Linked DNA regions of Tamandua tetradactyla. The protein of the gene in region 1 binds, or shares a complex with, the protein of each later gene. Links are inferred from orthologs where the notes say so. Each region holds a gene or a part of one and is shown on either strand. Other genes may lie near its edges.

What was found.
Region 2: the proteins of TLE6 (region 1) and OOEP are in contact, whole or in part, in a cryo-EM structure (PDB 8H94), measured with the Mus musculus proteins. The link is inferred for Tamandua tetradactyla from reciprocal best matches to the Homo sapiens genes TLE6 and OOEP. Residues at the interface, in NP_444484.1 of Mus musculus: Trp256, Ser258, Phe304, Thr305, Arg306, His307, Val318, Asn320, Val322, Asn323, Glu332, Ser333, Asn354, Ser355, Arg356, Leu373, Ala374, Ala375, Pro376, Ser377, Leu378; in NP_080756.1 of Mus musculus: Arg32, Pro33, Trp34, Trp35, Pro37, Gln39, Glu40, Glu67, Trp70, Met71, Gln73, Gln94, Pro95.

The regions. Positions count from the first base shown.
Region 1 is NC_135337.1:79,424,476-79,431,099, reverse strand, and holds the start of TLE6 (transducin-like enhancer protein 6), read left to right. Parts: upstream 1-2,172; 5' UTR 2,173-2,294; intron 2,295-2,850; 5' UTR 2,851-2,859; coding exon 2,860-2,934; intron 2,935-3,586; coding exon 3,587-3,672; intron 3,673-4,108; coding exon 4,109-4,154; intron 4,155-5,214; coding exon 5,215-5,256; intron 5,257-6,624. UniProt on the Homo sapiens protein: Component of the subcortical maternal complex (SCMC), a multiprotein complex that plays a key role in early embryonic development.
Region 2 is NC_135331.1:129,283,175-129,289,000, reverse strand, and holds OOEP (oocyte-expressed protein homolog), read left to right. Parts: upstream 1-1,960; 5' UTR 1,961-1,973; coding exon 1,974-2,253; intron 2,254-2,475; coding exon 2,476-2,655; intron 2,656-3,048; coding exon 3,049-3,128; 3' UTR 3,129-3,304; downstream 3,305-5,826. UniProt on the Homo sapiens protein: Component of the subcortical maternal complex (SCMC), a multiprotein complex that plays a key role in early embryonic development.

The sequences.
Region 1 (6,624 bases):
GTTTTAATTTTATCTCATTTTAATTTAAGTAGACACATGCACCCAGTGGCTACCACTTGAGACAGTGCAGCTGTAGATAAACGGATGTGCTGGGGGAAGAGGCATAGAGGGAGGCAATTAGCAGTTGGTCCATAAATAAAATACACTTCAATGAAGGACGGGTTGAGGGATTGGGGGTGAAAGGCTTTCTGTATCTCCTACAAAACAGCTCTCACTTTCTCCTCCATACACCAGCCACAGAACCCACAATATTACATGTTTACATCATAACCTCCGGGTGCTAGAAGGGTGTGGTGAGTGAGGAGAAGGAACCAGGGGTGGTAGTGATGGCTCTGGATGAGAATCCCACCAGCATTACATTGATTTTGAACACAGGCCGGGTTTAGAGCCATCCTGTGAAACCACTGTGATGTATCACAAGGTCAGCTCCAATCCAAATCATACTGGAGAAAAATAAAGCAAAAAAAGGAGACTAAGGGGATTGGTTTTTTTTGTTTTTGTTTTTTTTAATAGGGATCCTCAGTGGAGGATTCACTGAGGAGGTGACCTCTGAGCACAGAGCTGTAGGAGGTGAGGGAGCAAGCCAGTGCAAAGGCCCTGGGGCAGAACTCTGGACAGACCAATTACCATCTGCAATAGGCATTTTAATATTGGCCCAAAACAGAACTCCTGAACCCCATAAATCCCACTCCTATACCCACAGGAGGCTTCCCTGAAACACACCCCTCTGTCCTCACCTCCTGTTATCATCCCTTCTGGAGTTTCTTTTTTGCCCCCATCCAGTCCAAACCGAAGTGGTCCAGTTATTCCCCACTTCAGAGCTTTAAAAAAAAAATTATTATGGTAACATCCACATATTTTCATTTTAACCCTTTCCAAGTATATGATGCATCTATGTTTATTACATTTGCAGTGTTGTTCTACCATCAACACTAGCCCTTACCAACTCTTTTCTATCCCCCTCAACCTCTGCACCTATTAGGCGTTCACTCCCCATTCCCCACACCTAACCCCGGACTCTACTTTCTATCCCTACTAATTTGCATCTTCTAGTTATTTCATGTAAGCAAAGCCATACAACATTTATCCTTTTGCATCTGGCTTCTTTCACTCAACATGAGGTCTTCAAATTTCAGCCACATATTAGCGGAGACTGGAAAGTCCTTCCTTTTTACTGCCGAATGATATTCCATCGCCTGCGTGGACCCCATTTTGTTTCCCCACTCATCTGTTGATGGACACTCGGGTGGCTCCCACCTTTTGGCTTTTGAGAAAAATATCGCTAGGAGCACAGCTATCTGTTCAAGTCCCAGCTTTCAACAGTTTGAGGGTATATATATATATATATATGCTGAGACTTGGGATTGCTGGCTCACATGGTAATTCTGTATTTTCTGAGAACGGCCAGGGCCAAACTGTGTACACAGCAGGCTGCATCCTTTCACGCTCCCAACAACGGCTGCAGGCTTTCTGCCCTGGCTTCTCCCTCTGCCTGGAACGCCCACAGCTCTTTCCCACCGTAGACTTCAACCTGGCCTGCCAGCCTGGAGACATCTGCTCTTCCGCTTTCTCCAAGGAAGGGCAGTTGGGAAAATTCACTGATAAAACGCCTAGCCCAGAGTTTGGCTCACAGGAAGCCGGGGATAAACCGGAGTTGTTAAATTCTCTCCTGAAAGGGGCTTGATCTCGAGGTGCTGAAAACCCCAAGCCCCTCATAAGCTAACCCCTGGCCGGACCAAGCAATCAGGGTTCTTACCAGATAATGCAACCTTAGGCCACCCAGCCCTTCCCCCAGTTTCACCCTCTGACCCCTAAACCCCAGCTCCCCACCCCCACCCCCCGCCCCTTTATAGCCCCACCGTTTGCCAGGATCCCAAACAGCCTGCGGCTCTGCACGCCACTCTTTCCCGCAGCGGGACAGCAAGGGTTAAGCGAAGGCTCGCGGCGCTATGAGTGACAGCCTGGCGGGCGACCGCGGCAAACCGACCAATCGGGCACGGCGGCCGCGGCCCACGTGGGCAATCGACCTCGCGATTGGCCAGCGCCTCCGGCGGTCGCCTGCGGATCCCGAGCCCACGTGCAGCTGCTGCTCATTCATTGACCAGTTTCACGGACCAGGTGGCGGCGGGGCGGGGCCCGGGCGGGGCCGGGGTGGGGCCGGGGCGGGCCGGGGCGGGGCCGGGTCAGGTCAAATGGCCCCCAGGGGGAGGAGAAGCTTTCTTTTGGCTTGAACTTGACCGACCCTTGCAGTGCCGTCCCTACAGCTCCTGCCCTGGGCCCCCACCCTTGGGGAGGTGAGTTGGTGGCCAAGTTTCCTGACTGGGGAGGAGGCTGGAAGGGCCTTGAAGGACACAGCGAAGTAAGGAAGGGGCTTGGGGCCTTATGAGTCATTAGAGGCGAGAGAGGTTGCTTTGCTCCTGCCTGTTAAGTTCCTCCCATCTCCGCTAGCTAACTCCTACTCATCCTTCAAAACCCACTTCCAAAGATCTTCCCTGCTTTGAAAAATTATCTCAAAACCGAGGTTTATTTGGTTCGTATTCTGGGCAGAGAGTCTGTGTGTCCTATCCCACATCATAGGGTGAGGCCCAGGGCCCAGTCCTTTTTGGGTCCCCACTGTTAATCAGGACAGCTGGAGGCACCAGAGAGCGTTTGATGAATGAATATAGGTTTTAGGAACGCTGTGAGGAAGCTGGAGGTCAGGGGAGGGGTTGGGGGTACAGGACTGTGTCCTGGAGAGAGACAATGGTGTGTGGGGCAGGAGGCCTTGGGACACGATGGGGGTTGCTTCTCCCCCTGGAACTGCTGGGATTTCTGCTCTCAGGGGACTTGCCATCTCCTTTTTCCTTTCAGAGTCTGAAGATGACCTCTCAGAGCCCACCCAACTCCCAGGGGCACTCTGATGGGGTCGTGAACGTCAAGACAGCGGGAACCTTGGTGAGGAAGACGTGGTTTGGCATCAGCAGGGGGGACAAGCATGGGAGCTGCGGGGGGGGGGTGTCTCAGAAGTTAGGGAACTAGGGGGATAAGGCCTCATTCATTTCTGCTGCTCCCGATCTGTGAATCCACCTGTGAGATGGGCTAATGCTAGCCATGCCTCCCAGCTGGTAGTGTTCACCCATCACTGGCACCTGGAGTCCCAGGTGTCAAGACACTTTCTTTTTTAATTAAATTGACTTCTGATGACACAGGTGATAAAACACAGGACTACATCATCCAAGTTCATATTTTACAAGCAGAAGCCTCCCTCCTCCAGCCCTTCCGAGAACCCACTTTTTCTAGCAGTTTAGGGCAGAGGTGCTCAAACTTTTCTGCAAAAGGCTGGATGATAGATAGTTTAGACTTTGTGGGCCAGGGGGAAAAATTAAAGCTATTCTGCTGGTACTTAAATACCGAGAGAGAAAGCCAATTAACTTCAGGTTTTAGAAGGACCTTCCTTATCTCTACGGGGGTGGGTCAAAATCCCAGGGGACTTCAGGGTAGCGCTAAGGAGGCATCAGATGAGATGCTGATGAGACCTGAAAGTCTGAGCGCCTGAAAATCTTCTTCAGTTCTACTGACTTTTTTTTTTTTTTTTTTTTTAATCCAGGCTGAAACTCAGTCTTCTAGTTCCAAGGACCCTCAGGAGCTGACAGCTTTGGACAAACTGGAAGAATTCAAGTTACATTTCTCCAGGTGAGGGCGATTTGAGGCAGCCCTGCATCCCACCAAAAGGGGAAAGGATCCTTCCTGGTCCCTATCCTTGGGGCCCTTATGGGTGACCCAGAAGCCTCTGGGTCAGTAAAGGAGGTAGGGGTGGGGGGGTGGGGATCTGGGGGACCAGAATGGAGCAGATGGCAAAAGGAAAACTCAGTAATACTGATTCTGGCTTTTATTTAAAATTTTAATATTGCATTCAGCACGAAATGGGTAACCTTACATTTGACACTGTTGGAAAATATTGCATTAAAATCTTATTTTCTTGATCACTGAGCTTTTGGGTGCCACCGTAAATTTGGCTCTTGGAGTGAATATTTGCCCTGCAGTTGGGGTTGAGTTGAGGGGCCGGGGGGCTCATACTCTGGGGCCTCCTGAGCTGCTGCTTCTAGTCAGTCTTTCTTCCCCCACTCAGGTTTTCCCCCAAATTGATGGCACAGGTGGAGAACATTTACTGCTTGGTGAGCCAGACCCGGCAATCCCTCAGAGCAGGTGATGTAAGGGGAGGGGGGAATGGTGCAGGTACCTGGGCTCCCAACAGGGGGCTGCTGCAGCCCCTGGGCCCTGAAGGGCTGACCTCTTTAGCTTCAGGAATCCTGTTCAGGGACTACTTCCACCTTGACTTATTTTTTGCTTACTGTGGGCAAGCGAGTAATGGAGCCCGCTTCTCTGGGTGAGTTTTTCCCTTTACTGACTTTGCAGTGAAAACTAGAAATTCCATATTGAAAGTGAGTGATGGTTCAGACCAGGTTGGATGTTCAGGGATACGGCAGATGTTTGGAGCACTGCTCTTCGAGAATCTACCCGCTAATGCAGGGCAGTCTTCTAGAACTTTCCACCACGATGGGAATGTTCCATGGTTACAGAGTTCAAATTGGTACCTGCAATCCATTTGAAATGTGGTGATACAACTAAGGATCTGAATTCTTAACTTGATTTAATTTAAATAGTTTCCCTTGCTAGTGGCTCCTTCGATGGACAGCACAACTCTAGGTGTAGGGGAGACAGACAAGGTAATAGAGAAACCAGTTTCACAAACAGGTAACAGGGGCGAAAGGAAAGATTTTCTTGAGCTAAGGTAGCAGGAAGGGTTTATCAGAAGAGGTGTTAATCAGGATGAGACATGGAGGATAAGAGTCGGCCACCCCTAGAAAAAACAGGGAATAGTGTATCTGGCAGAGGGACTAGCCAGTGCAGAGGCCCTGAGGCAACACAGAGCCTGGTGTGTTGGAAGAACAGTGAAGAGGCTCTGTGACTAGAGTGAAGGGAGTGAGCGCGAGGAAAGGAGGATGGAGAGTGGACTGGGCAAAGGGAGAATGTTGACCTTCAGTTCCTGTTGAGAATGAAGTCCAGTGGGCTCCCTGATTAACTCGGGGTATAACAGGTAAGAGTAGGGACCAGAGAGGCAGAGTGATTTGTCCAGGGTCACACAGCTGGGGAGAAGCACATGTGCTGCTGACACCCCAGACTCTTACTCACCTCCATTGACCACTTTCTGGCCTGATCCCCATCCTGCCACAGCTTCAGAAGATCCAAGACGACCTTCAGGAACATAGCAAGCAGGTAAGTTGAGTGTGCTGGAGCTTGGGGTTATGGCTTCCCCACCTTGAAAGGGAGAGAGTGATGGGGCAGGGTGCGCAGAGCCTGGTGGGCTATGGGATGGACTTGAGCTTTTATCCCAAGAGAGGTGGGAGCCATGGAAGGTTGTAGGCAGAGGAGGGACAGGCCCAGTCTTAGTTGCTCACAGGTGCCCTCTGGCTGCCTCAGGGAGAACAGACTATGGGAGGTGAGGGCGGGAGCTGGAGAACCAAGGTAGAGGCAACTTCAGGTCTAGGTGGTCAATGGTGGGGGCTGGACCAGGTGGAGGCAGAGAGAGGGGATGAGTGAATGGACTCTCATGAAAAGATAACATTTAAACAGAGCTATAGGGAGGGAGAGAGCAAGCCTTGCAAAGCTTTGGCCAAAGAGTGTTTCAGGCAGAGGGCATAGTCAGTGTAAAGGCCCTGAGGCAACATTTAAACAGAGCTGTAGGGAGGGTGGGAGGGAGCAAGCCTTGCAAAGCTCTGGCAAAAGAGTGTTTCAGGCAGAGGGCATAGTCAGTGCAAAGGCCCTGAGGCAGGACCAGGCTTGGTGGGTTGAAGGAGCAGTGAGGAGGCCCACGGGGCTGGGGCTTGGAGGGAGGGAGAGGGAAAGGGAGGAGTGGCAGGCAGGGAGGGGACGGGGCAGGGCATGCAAGGGGCTGGGGGTGCCATATGGGCTTTTCCCCAAGTGAGGTGGGAGCATGGAGGGTTGTGGGTAGAGGAGGGATGGGCCCTGGCTTGCACCTCCCTGCCCACCCCCCCCATATTAGTGGACTTCCCACACCTTGTGAGTGCAGCTCCCATTCTCACTCTGAGCCTCTTCCAAGGAGACAGGCTGGGTCAGGCCTTTTTGGCCTGCTTCCCGCAGTTCCTGCCTGCCTCGGAGGAGGTCCAGGGGCCTGAAGCTCTTTGCAGGTCAGTTGTTCTGGACATGAAGGGCCTGTGCTGTGCCAGGCACTGAGCTGTGTTCCTCCCGTGGTTCTGCGCATTTTCAAGGCCCTGTATCACGTGTGGGGTGGGGGCAGGCCTGGATGCGGGGGTGGGGGGTGCCTAAAGCCCTGCCTCCCAGCCCCTGGGATGCCTTGCTGGAGTTGAAGCACGTCTTCTACCCCTGCCTGTCCCCCTGCCACCTGGCCCCTTTCTCCTGGGTGTTGCTGAGACTTTCTGCTCATGCCAGATGTGGCTGGCAGGAGGCCAAGGCCATGTCTGCAACTTAGCAGTGCCTGGGGTGGGCAGCTCAGGGAACAGGGGGAGACAGCTCCAGGGCGAGGCGGGGGGTGGGGGGGAGGCAGGAAGCAGCCAGAACAGTTATTCATTCAACAGATATTTATCCATACCTCCTTGCCAAGTA
Region 2 (5,826 bases), on another chromosome or scaffold:
GTCCCCCATTAGATTTTATAACGTGCACAGGCCTTGAATTTTTTCTCACTTTACTTCAAAAGAAAGGTTGATTCATAACGTATATTCTCTTTTGTAAAATTCTGGTATGAAAGTCTCATCTCTCCAAACATACTATTTACAAAATGTTTGTGCACATTTATAATCCTAAATTCTTATTTGAGAATGTGAAAGTATAATAAACAGTCTTATCGAGTGCCAAGAATACAGAAAAGGAAGGTAGTTGATGAGTGAATATATAGAGTTCTAATCTTAAAACAGAAAAAATCTACAAAGACCATGCTGTTTTTCAAGCATCAATTTCTTAAGCAGCCCAAATCTAAGCTCAGAAGAAAGGTTTCATATTAAACACCTTTAACTTTCATGGATAAGCTTCAGCTTCCTCTTGCCAAGAGAAGAGTGCTTGAGTAACAGAAGGCATTAGTTTGAGGAACTTCACTCTTTTTATAAAATTCCAGATATCAAAATAGATTTTGATATGTAAATGAATTTTCTGGGATGACACTATAACCATTTTGCCTGGACTATCTAACCAGTCCTATGAATGTATCCCTAAATGTGGCTATTGAAAACAAAATAGCTGCCTCATGTCTAATCAAATGCATGGTATTTAAGGAAGGAAAAAATTAAATTTTGAATTGAGTGTGTAGGCTCCCTGTCATTATAGTTTTTTTCCACACTAGTCTATAACTTAACCTAAATCATAAATATGTGTAAAGGGTTAATTGTCCTGAATCAAACTTTTATTAAATAATTCCATCCGCTTAAGGAGGAGGTAGAAGCTGGACACTAATTCATGTACCTGTGAATCAGTAAACACTGAATGAGTGCCCCATGTTGAGCTGGTAATTTTGACACATAATAAAAATTATATTCTTGGAGGTAATACAATAAATGATTCTATTAACTGGAAGATGGCATAATGTGACCATACTTCAGTACAGTTTCTACTGTGGGGTGAATAGGTAAAAATTGTATCGTATGGTAATTGATTTAGGTGCTAAAGCAGAGAATCTGCAGATAAACTTATGCAATTTATAATTTGTTCAGAGTTGTTTTCATTTGGGTAAGGAAGTTCTGAAATATCCTCCAAAGCAGTTTACTTAGTAATTGAAAGTCCTCCAAAAATAGAACTATTGGGAAATCATTGTGCATTTACAACAATGATTTCCACTAGAGAGGGAAAGGGAAGATTCCTTCATGATAATAATTTTAAAGAGAGGCAAATGTGGGAGAATTTTGACATACGTTAAATTTGGGCGTGGCGGTGGTAAATGGGTGTTCTATTACTTTGTGCATATGTAAAACCTTTCACAATTTAAAATTTAATTAAAATTGAGAATACTGGAGAGAAGTGTCATCTGTAGAAGTTGTGTCTTAGGATGGTGGGAGTAAACGGTATTTGTCCACACCAGCTACGTTTTCTATAATGACTACCTCTGACATTTTATTTAAAACATGACACAGTTTTGCTTGAATGATTTCGAGATAGTAACCCTCTGGAAAGAGTCAGAAGATAATGGGGGCTGAGAGGAGAGATTTTACAGATTCAAGGAACCTGCTTCCATCCACCTGATCTACCTACCTACGTCTGGAGGGCAAGGTGGAGACCTTAACCTTGGCGATAAAGGTGATTCCAGGTCAACAAGGTCGCCAGTTCCACCTCGTATTGTTAATGAGTTACATGCTGGGGCAGGGACCTTTGAGGCTATGTGATACCTTACTAGGTGGGGCCGACAATGAAGAGCAAGGGAGACATGTTTGGAGTTCAAATAAATTCTTGTTGAAGGCCGAAGTGAAGCCTGAGTGATTGACACAGAGCAGGAGGCGCCTCAGGGCGCCCAGGTGGGAGCACCAACCTCCACGTGGCAGCTAAATCCGGAGGTCAGGGATGGGGGGCGGGGGGCGTGAGCTCTGCCGGAAGGGGCGGGGCTGGTCAGGAACCTTAATGCAGGATGAGGGGGCGTGGGCTTCGCTGGGGTCTGGACTCTCCTGAGGGCCGCACCGTCCTGAGCATGGTGGACGACGCTGACGCTGCCGGGGTCCGCGCTGCGGAGGCCCGTCCTGCTGAGGCCCAGGATGACAAGCAGGTGCCTGCGGCGTCCCACAGCAGCCTGCCCAGGTTATTACTCCCGGTGCCACGGATTCGCGTCCGACCGTGGTGGTTTCCCGTGGAGGACCTGAAGGACCCGCTGGTGTTCCACCTGGAGGCATGGCTGGTGGACCCGATCTTCGGTGGGTGACCGGGGGTTTGCTCCTAGGCTAGCCCCCACAGCTGGAGAGCGGACTGCAGAGCAACCCTGCGGCCGCCTTCTCGGACTCGCCTGCGCGCGTCTGGCGCCAGCCCAAGGACACCAGCCCCCAGCTGTTCCCTCGGCCCAGCAACATTCCCTTCTTATCTAGCGCCGCCAAACCCGCGACTGCCCCGCGGCTCACAGTCTCTCCTTCCCTGTTTAGGCGCAGACAGAGCAACCATTGCGAAGATTGAGTGGATGAGCCAGGCTCTGCTGATGGTGGACACAGTAGACTCGGAGGGCCTCGCCGAAATCACCGTCTTCGGCCGGCCGCGGGTACGGAACCGGGTGAAGAGCATTCTCCTGGGTCTGGCAGCGTTACACCGGGAACGTCGTTTCAGAGGTGAGGGTCTGGGCGAACCTGCATGTGGAGAGAGCCACGTATCTCCTTTCTGGACTTGCCTGGCTTCTTCCGGCCTCTCTTCTGAAAGTAACTCTTCAGAGTTTCCAAGCCCCAAGAAGCTGTACCCAGCTGCTGGGGATCGCTTTGGGAGGGAGCCCGGGGTAGGGTCTCGGAAAGGTAAGCAGAGGTCTGGCGTAATTGGGAGCCCGTCGCTGCCCAAGCCAACTACAGGTGGACTCCATCACCATTCCCAGATCCCGGTTCATGTCTCCACCCCGAGAAACGGTGTTGCCAGCACCTTCCCTTACTGCCACCTATTAACAAGTACAGTACAGTCTAAAACAGCAAGCACTTTTCCAAACTGGTGGTCGGCATCAATTGTTTTTCCTCCAGCTGAGAAGATGAAACGACTTGAGGACTTCTTAAAGTCTCATGCATCAGGCGCCCAGACTACCCAGCATCCTGTTGCTTAAGACAGAATGAGTATCCTCAGGAGTATTGTGAGCCAGCCTTCTGCTACTAAAGTTGAAGGAAAACAAGTATCGTTCAACTTTCATTCCAGTCTCCTGTGTCTCAGTGAATAATAGTTTGATTATTTTGGTGCAAATGTGAGTTTGTGTTCTTCCAATAAAGAAATGAATTTCCTTGCTTTTTTTGTCCAATGGCCAAAGATCTTTGATCACTTAAAGTTACTCCAATTTATAAAAGACTGACTCGGTTCATTTCTAGGTTTAGGTAGAAAGCTAAGCAGTGTCTTTTTTTTTCTTGTTTTTTCCTTCCATTTTGGAACTTTTATGGCTTTATGGTTATGGTCAGGCCCTCAAACCCAGGGGACAAAGATGCAGGGGCAGATGACCTCACAAATGGCCAGTCTGTTTTGGTGAACAAGACTGGTCTTGTTTTTTGTTTTTTTTTTTTGACCAAGCTGCCAGGTTTACTTGCACGCCTATACCCCCTCCCTTTCCTGTCCTGACTATCTTAAAAATAATCTTGCAGCTTTGGGATTGCAGAGAAAAACAGCTCTGTGTTTGCAAGGGGTGGGTGGGCAACAACTTCAGATCCTAACTTAGCTATTCTAAGTATCAGTCACCCCCTGACCTCCCTCACCTCTCTCCTTCTCACACCTGTTACCCAAGCACCTGAGAGGCTGTCTAGTTAGTTCCTTATCTCCCTCCCTCCTCTTTCCTTGCCTTCCAGGCTCCAGGAGACCTCAGCACAACTTAAATAGACCCCCTCACCCATCCCGCTGGAACCAGATAGTCCTAATTGCAATGTCAGTAAATCACTCACCAGGTCCCAGTGGTCAGCTCTCCATACTGTCTTCTGGTGCTTTTCATATCACCAATCCCAAGCCCTTAAAATGTTTGCAGGGTATTTCCTTTTACATTGGTTCTGAAACTTTAAAGTGTGTTAATCACTGAGAGCTTGTTGAAACACAATTTCCTAATCCCCTTCTCAAGATCCTGATTCATTACATTGTTGGGGGGCATTAGTTTGCATTTCTAACAAGCTCACAGGTGAAACTGGTGTTGAGATTCTCACTTTGAGAACTCCATTCCACCTTACTTTAGTCAGAACACATTAAATCAATGTTTAGTCAGGAACACATTAAATCAATGTATTGATTCATTGGAAATTTGGAAGCCTATTTTAGGGAGAAACTGAAAGGATTCAGTAACCTTTAAAGAAGCAAACAGAAGACCTTACAAGCAATTACTATCTGGAATGGATTTCTATTGGAAGTGAGTTATCCTTTTATAGATGCTGATTAAACTGGAATTAGAGTGAAGACCTTAGCATTTGAAATCTCCTCCTCAGAAATAGATAAATCTAGCCAGATTATTCAGATGACATTCTTTAAGAAGAGAGTTTGCTTTCTACACGAAAACATGGCTATTAGCAATAAACTTGAAACAACTACTAAATAGACGAAACAATATAATAAATTCATATTTAGTATAAGTCTGCTGTGAAGATGGGTAAACACAAAAGGAATGAAATGGGAAAAATGAAGGCAGTAGTGTCAGAGGAAGGGGAATGTGCATAAATGGTATCCCTTTTACCCACTTTCAAGCAGTGATAGCATTTTTAAAATACTCTTTTATGACAGTAAATACATATGATGCTGTAGTCACATCCTAAAGTCAAGGTTATACAGGAAAATGCCAAAGTCTCCAGACTACTGTCTCAAACCCACTCATTTCCTTATTGGTATTCATTTTTTTTTTAGTAGTTTAATTTGTGCTTTTACAGAATTGCATATACTTTTCTACTACCATGATTTTCCTCAGTATGGGTACCCTTTAACTCTTTCATTATTTGATTAGTTTTTTCCAGATTTCTCAACTGCACACAATGCAGTGCTGAATTTCTACTTCCTTCCTTGTGTCCACATTGAACTGTTGCTGAAGGAGCTTCCTAGAAGTGGAATTGTGGGTTGAAGAATGAGCACCTTTAAAATTGATGTAAAAACTGATGTACTGCCAAGGCACTGGTGCTTTGTGGATTCTGCTCAGGACAAGGAAGAGCAAGAGGCCAGGAAGTCAGTGAGAAAGCTGCTGCAGGTAACAGAAGAACATAATACTAAGATTTGAAGCATGGTGGTAGCGAAGGAACAGGCCAGCCTATTGACAGCAGCACTGTCCAATAGAAATATAATACAGGCCAATTAAATTTTAATTGAAATTAAATTAGCTAAATTTTCTAGTAGACATTTCTTTAAATTAAGATATGAGCAAAACTAATATATTTATTTAACCCAATATGTCCAAAATATCACTTCAACATGTGACAAATGTAAAAAGTTAAGACAGCTTACATTTTTAAAATACTAATCTTTAAATTGTACTAGAACATCTCAATTCAAAATTAGCTATGTTTCAAATGCTCAGTAGAGAACATGTGGCAGATGGCTACCAACTTAGACAACACAGCCTTAAAGTCTGAGGAGAGCTGAAGTGGCAGAACTGTGAAAAGAATGCCTTCCTCCTTTTAGGGTATTCCAGAAGCATCTTGGAGATTTACTACAATCATTCTGAAAAACTGCAGGAAGGAGAAAAAGGGAGAAAGTAAAATTCATCTGAAGAGTTCTATAAGATCCAGGTCAAGGAAATTCATTTTACTCCAGTTTCTTCCTGAATTGCTCTGGTTTAGTATTAGTTAGCTCTCCGG